Schizosaccharomyces pombe: one gene and its partner. Changing the gene in region 1 together with any one later gene gives a genetic interaction. Each region holds a gene or a part of one and is shown in the gene's direction. Other genes may lie near its edges.

Region 1 (3,762 bases):
TACATTATCATTACCGATTCTGAAGGTATTTTGGGTATCGGCGATCAAGGTGTTGGTGGTGTCTTAATTTCAGTTGCCAAGGGACATTTAATGACTTTATGCGCGGGTTTAGACCCTAATCGATTCTTGCCCATTGTTCTCGATGTTGGCACCAACAATGAAACCCATCGTAAAAATCATCAATACATGGGTTTGAGAAAGGATCGTGTTCGTGGTGAACAGTATGACAGCTTTTTGGACAATGTTATAAAGGCCATTCGTGAAGTCTTTCCTGAGGCCTTTATTCATTTTGAGGATTTTGGTCTTGCCAACGCCAAGCGCATTTTAGACCACTATCGTCCTGACATTGCCTGCTTTAACGATGATATCCAGGGAACCGGTGCCGTAGCATTGGCCGCCATTATTGGCGCCCTTCACGTTACGAAATCTCCCTTAACCGAGCAGCGCATCATGATCTTTGGTGCAGGTACTGCTGGTGTTGGTATCGCCAACCAAATTGTTGCCGGTATGGTGACAGATGGCCTTTCATTAGATAAGGCTAGAGGTAATCTTTTCATGATTGATCGTTGCGGTTTGCTTTTGGAGAGACATGCTAAGATTGCTACTGATGGACAAAAGCCATTTTTGAAGAAGGACTCTGACTTTAAGGAAGTCCCTTCTGGAGACATTAATTTAGAGAGTGCTATTGCACTCGTCAAGCCCACCATTCTTTTGGGATGTTCCGGTCAACCGGGTAAATTTACAGAGAAAGCCATTCGTGAAATGAGCAAGCACGTCGAGCGCCCCATCATTTTCCCAATCTCTAATCCCACTACTCTTATGGAAGCGAAGCCCGATCAAATTGACAAATGGTCAGATGGAAAGGCTTTGATAGCCACTGGTTCCCCACTTCCTCCTCTCAATCGCAATGGTAAAAAATACGTGATTTCCCAATGCAACAATGCCCTCCTTTACCCTGCTCTTGGTGTTGCATGTGTGTTATCCCGTTGCAAGTTATTGAGTGATGGTATGCTGAAAGCAGCTTCCGATGCTTTGGCCACTGTTCCCAGATCTTTATTTGCTGCTGATGAAGCCCTCTTGCCAGATTTGAACAATGCTCGCGAAATTTCTCGTCACATTGTTTTTGCAGTCTTGAAGCAAGCTGTTTCTGAGGGAATGAGCACTGTGGATTTACCCAAAGATGATGCTAAATTGAAGGAATGGATTATTGAACGTGAATGGAATCCCGAATACAAGCCTTTTGTATAAAGCCTTTTATTTTATTTTTTTTTGAAACCTGCTTTTTGGTCTGCTTGTATTTAAAGATATTCATGTAAATAATTTTTTGAAAGATGAATTTACAATAAGTTGCTAAAAAGAAAATTCCCGTTTTATTCAAATGCTCATATTTGAATATTAGAAACATTATGTACATATTTAGGCATCTTCCATTAAGAATGATTAATGCGTAGAAAGATAATCAATTATTATTGCTTTTTTCTCCTATTGTTATTCATCAACTATATACATTAAAAAGATTGGAGTATAGCAGAGGTAGAATTTCTTTACTCTGAAAAGTAAATCGAAATAAATGGTATATGATTCAGTCTGAAATAAATTGAGCACGAGTATTCAAACCGTAAACCGTTATGTATTGAATGAACCATTTGATTTAATAAAGGTTATAATTTTACGAATTTATAATGGGTAGTTATATAGAAACACCAAGTTAACTTTATAATCAGATTAATCTGAATAATAAATTAAAAAGGGAAAGAGAAATCTGTATATGGATGAAACAAACAAATAGTAAATCGCATTTGACACCTACAAAATGTGTGTGAATATATACATACAAGGAGGGCCTGTAAATAGAACTTTGTATTCCCAAGGGATTTAGTGAACACCCTTAAAATCGTTATTACTAAATTTCGTAGATCAATAAAAAAAAATTCTCTCAGTAAAGCAGAATAAAGATATATGATGCAGTTTCTTGATAAAGTAAAAAGGAGCCGCGGCTAGACTGAGAAATCTGATTTCCCCATCCACCGACAACAATACTTCCATACTCGTTGCCTACGCGTTCTTTGAGAAGCGAAAACTTCTTTAAAAAAGTTTCATTTAAACAATTGGATATAAATTCCTTTAGGAACTAGAAATCCAAGAAAGTAAAACATTATCTAAGATGGAGTCCATTCAATCGACGATGAAGAACATCAACCTTTACGATATCAAGGCGGCGGTTCGTAAAGCACAAAATGTTGTAATGAATTATACATCTATGGAAGCCAGAGTTCGTGAAGCAACGAATAATGAACCCTGGGGCGCTAGTACTTCTTTGATGATGGAAATTGCCCAAGGAACTCACAACTACTCTCAGTTAAACGAAATTTTACCAATGATCTACCGTCGGTTTACCGAAAAAACTGCAGAAGAATGGCGTCAAATTTACAAAGCACTTCAGCTTCTGGAGTTTTTGGTCAAGAACGGGTCTGAAAGAGTGGTAGATGATGCTCGAGCACATCAAGCAACTATTAAAATGCTTCGTAATTTTCACTACATCGACCATCGTCAAAAGGACCAAGGGCTTAATGTTCGAACTCGAGCTAAAGAGCTGGTGGAATTACTAAACGATAGCGAACGTATCCGTAAGGAACGCAAGAGAGCGCGTCAAAATCGTGGTAAATTTATAGGTGTTGGTAGTGATGGAGATTCTAGGATTTCCACTAGCTCTAAATCTAGGTTTCCTAGCTTTGGCTCTTCCCGTGGTTCTTATAGAACTCGCGTTTACGGAGACGGTGGCGGCTTTACCGATTATGGTAATGGATACCATGATTCATCTTCTATGAGTGATTCCCGTGATGCATCCGATAACGATGTAGAGGAGTACAATGAAGATGGAGATGGTGGTTCCAGCGATGCTGCAACCGCAAACTCCACGCGTGGCTCACGTCGCACTACTACCAAACAATCTGACAAAGCTCCCGAGCAGCCAAAACAGGAATCTGCAATGATCGATTTATTGGGTCTTGACAATGAGCCTTCTCCTGCCCAACCACAAACAAATACTTCTGCTCCTTTGGCGTTCGAAGATGATGGCTTCGGTGACTTCCAAAGTTCTGCCGCTGCCCCAGCTTCTTCCACCTTAAACAATGCCTCTCTCTTTATGGGCTCTCAAACTGCTTCAACTGCTGCTAAAAATGACGATGATGCTTTTGATGATTTTCAAAGCGCTCCCTCCGCCAAACCCGCTTCAAATACTGCTGCCTTTTCGTCAATTTCGTTCGGTGGCTTTAATAGTTTAAATCAACTTCCCACATCATCCAGTGCCTTTACACCTCAACCTACTACCTTTAATACGGGTTATACATCTGCGTTTGGTATGTCATCCGGATTGTCTAATACCTCTTCACAAGCCGGTCTCGGATTAACCTCACAACAACCTACTGCTGCCAAATCTTCTGGATCTAATGGTGATGCTTTTGGTAGTCTGTGGTCCTCTGCCGTAAACAAAGTTCATCAAGAAAACTCAACTAGGGAAAGAGTTGTTTCGTCTTCTAGCGAACCGGTTTCTAAAACCCAAAACTTCCTAGACAACGACAATCTCCTATTGTAATAATTGTTTTTTATATTCCTAGTTTGTCTTTTTTAATACTTCCTATTAGCATGTGTTTGCTATGGAATTTAAGTAGTCGTTTCCTATCTCATTTAAACTATCTCCAGCCCTTGATCGTTAGCAACAAGGTCTTAATACCTTCTTTTGCTTCATTTTTTAATACCTTT
Region 2 (3,762 bases), on another chromosome or scaffold:
TTAATTAGTTTACTTGAGCAATGTTTATGTACAGCTTAAAGTTTAAGCACTGTATTTGTCTTTTTAAAAATACCAACCTTTTAACTTCGGACCTACGTTATTATGGTGAATATTCCAACCAAATGACATTCCATATTTTTCGCTAAACTTCTATTTTTTTGATTTCTTGATTTTCTTCTTCTTGTATTGCTTTTCAACTTCATCAATTTGGGCATCGGCAGCTTTTATTAGTTTTTCAGCAAATTCCGGATCGGTAATTTCTTTGCGTGAATATTCAACTATCGAACATTCATTTACAAGGACGGGTTGAGTAATCGAAGCAAATTCGGGACTGCAAATAGCATGAAAAAATGATTGAGCACCATGAATAGTACCTTTCAGAAGAAGCCACCAAAACGGCCAAAGTAACAAATAAAGAAATAATCCCCAAACCTTTCCAAAGGATACAACTCTTCGAAATCCTGGAGTTCGAACGACACCTGGATTTGCCATGATGGTATGTAAATTACACGGCATTTTGTCAGGTCGTTCATGAGCTTCAGCTTTTTTCTGAAAATCATAAAGATAAGTCATCAAGGCAAGTTTGGCATTTCCCACTACCTTCCAGGGACTTTTTCGAGGATATGGATGATTAGATAAATCAAGATCGTTGAAATCTATATTACCTAAAATATATGATGAACAGGTAGCTGCAACAATTCGTACTTCCCTGTGCCCGGGCTGACCATATATAACTGGGCGGAGAATCCTAAGTAGCTGGTATGGACCTAAGAAATTTGTAGCCCATTGCAACTCAACACCTTCCTCGGTAGTTTGCCTATCCATAAATGGAGGCAGTAAAACTCCACTGCACAAAACTATCATATCCAGCCTACGAATAGGAGTGCAATCAATCCACTTTGTAGCGAACTTCCTAACAGATAACATAGAGCTCAAGTCACAGACTTCAGTATAAATTAGTTGGTTTTTTGTACGCTTTCTAAGGTCCATTATGTAATCTACAGTAAATTGATCTGGCTCTGTACGAAGTAGAATAACAACTTGAGCTCCCAGAGAAGCTAATTTCTCTACGACAACTTGTCCTATTCCAGAACTTCCCCCAGTGACCATGACTACCATTCCGTTCATTTTACGCTCCCAAGTTGTTGTTCGTCCAGAAGTCCAGAATTTAAAGGCCGCAATTGTTGAAACCGCAATCGCAGCCTTTGTATATTGAGCCCAATGTGTAATTAGATGCTCATACTTAAATTGTGCTATGTGAGCAATAATTGGAATAGGCATATTTCGTTGATTTACAAAATCTGTTGATGGAGTTGGCAAAAGGCAGCTACATACCACTGACATTGAGGTATACTAAACTCGTCTTCATATTTAATTCTTAACAATCAAAAATTTAAAACTTTTTTTTATACAATTGTTTTAACTTTAGATGGATTTAATTGTACAATTATTTAATCGCTTGACTGCTAGTGCATATTACTAATAGCAACTAGCTCCATAAATTTGACAAAGATAGGATTGAATTGTTTTTGTATATATACATAATGTAATTTATGGACCGTAAAACAGATTGCTTACAAATTGGAAAGTAAAATAGACTGTTTATATGATATATATGTGAAATTTGAAGATATACTAAATACTTGTTTTAACATAGGAAAATTAAGTATGTGTATACTACAACATTTGACATATTATTTTTTATAATATTTCAAGAAACACTGTGATAGTATATAATTCGCATAGCAAATATAAATTATTACGGTCTGTCTTATTAGCACCTACCAGAAGTACAGCACTCAATGGTGAGGTATCGTTTTCCTTCTTTGCTTATTTATGGTACCTTCAAAAAGGCTGAAACTACATTGCACGCTTTAGCTTGATCTACCTAATGAGTCTATAAACATCATCGATATTTACGACAATTAGTGTTCTCTCAATACTTGCTTTACTATATTTGCCGCTCTGCACTATCAACCGTTATACCGAGATGTGCTAAGCTGCCCGCACTATTACTTAGCAAGTTTGAGCCACGAACAATCTGTTATTGCTGTCGAGAACCAAACTCTTTCTCAAATTGAATTTTATTGGAAAGGAGGATTTACAATACATTATTTTGCCATAATTTCAAACAATCAGAAGAATTGTGCCAAAGTTGTTATACTTCACCTGCTGCTTTTGTTTATTAGGAATTTTTGAAGGCCATTGGTTATTTGTTTGGTGACAATTTAGCTTACAAATAATAAAAAGATTTCTTTTGTTTCTTAATTTCGGTTTTTCTTTTCTTCTCTATTTTCATAACGATGTCTCGGTGGTGGAATTCCAATTCTCAGTTTGCTTCCGACATAGAAAAGGCTACATCGGAAACGCTTCCTGCTGGCTCTGAAGAAATTTCATTATATTTAGAAATTTCTGATCAAATACGTAGTAAGTCTGTTGATCCGAAATTTGCTATGCGTATTCTTAAATCCCGAATTGATCATTCGAATCCGAATGTTCAAATAATGGCATTGAAGTTGACAGATACCTGCGTTAAAAATGGGGGTTCCGGTTTTTTATTGGAAATAGCTTCTAGAGAGTTTATGGATAATTTGGTATCTATTCTACGATCTCCTGCAGGAATAGACGAAGACGTTAAAATGGTCATTTTACGATACATTCAGTCTTGGGCTTTGGCAGTTCCAGATACCAATTCTCCACTTAGTTATATTATTCATGTTTATCAAAATTTAAAAGACGGTGATTATGAGTTCCCTGAGCCTTCTCAGAACATTACTAGCAAATTTTTAGATACTGAAACACCGCCCGATTGGACAGATAGTGAAGTTTGTCTTCGTTGTCGTACACCTTTTACATTCACTAATCGTAAACACCATTGTAGAAATTGCGGTGGCGTGTTTTGCAATCAATGTTCTTCAAAAACACTTTCTCTTCCTCACCTTGGAATTAACCAGCCTGTTAGGGTATGCGACAGTTGTTATTCATTACGTACGAAACCCAAAGGTTCCAAATCAAGAGCGCGAAATGAAAGGAAATTCCATGCGAAGACTAGAAAGACACCCTCTAAACCCGTAACTAATAATGAAGACGAAGATATCAAAAGAGCTATTGAGCTTTCCCTCAAAGAAATGCCTCAATCACGAGAACCTCCATCTTATGAAAGACCTTCAGAGGCCAATGTAGTTATTAGTCAAGACCAACATCTTACAGAAGACGAAGATGAAGAGCTTAAACGTGCTATTGCTATCAGCCTTGAGGAAGCACAGAAGTCATCTCAAAAGGATGACAATGTTACGGCACCTAACAATATGAATATTTCTTACCCTAGTGTTCCAGCTCACACCGTTTCAACTGATATTCGATCATCTCCTTTCTCTGGTAGGCCGAGTGATAATCCTTCTACTTTAATTTCTACTGCGGATGCTGATAACATCACTTTATATGCTACTTTGGTGCAAAAGTTAAAAAAGCTACCACCTGGGTCTATTTTTACGGAATATCAGCTACAGGAACTCCACGAAAATATGGGTGTTATGCGAACTCGTATGATGCGATCGCTTGGTGAAACAATGAGTAAATATAACGGGCTAATTCAAGCTTTGCAAAAGCTCCAAACTTGTATGCGATTGAATGATGCTCTAATAGAACAAAGACTTTCATCCACGTATGCACATCATTATATTGATTCTAGCATGGATTCAAACCGATCAATTGAACCTGAGCCGGATGTAATTAGCACTGTGAGGAATAGTTCAACCATTC

What was found.
Region 2: mutations in ent3 (region 1) and sst4 impair growth when combined (synthetic growth defect), as found in Schizosaccharomyces pombe (one study listed by BioGRID).

The regions. Positions count from the first base shown.
Region 1 is NC_003421.2:273,000-276,761, reverse strand, and holds the start of ent3 (ENTH/VHS domain-containing protein Ent3), read left to right. Parts: upstream 1-2,013; 5' UTR 2,014-2,164; coding exon 2,165-3,595; 3' UTR 3,596-3,762. Other genes in the region: malate dehydrogenase Mae2, read left to right, coding at 1-1,248.
Region 2 is NC_003424.3:2,475,816-2,479,577, forward strand, and holds the start of sst4 (ESCRT 0 complex subunit sst4), read left to right. Parts: upstream 1-2,055; 5' UTR 2,056-2,303; coding exon 2,304-3,762. Other genes in the region: pbr1 (putative dehydrogenase), read right to left, coding at 151-1,281.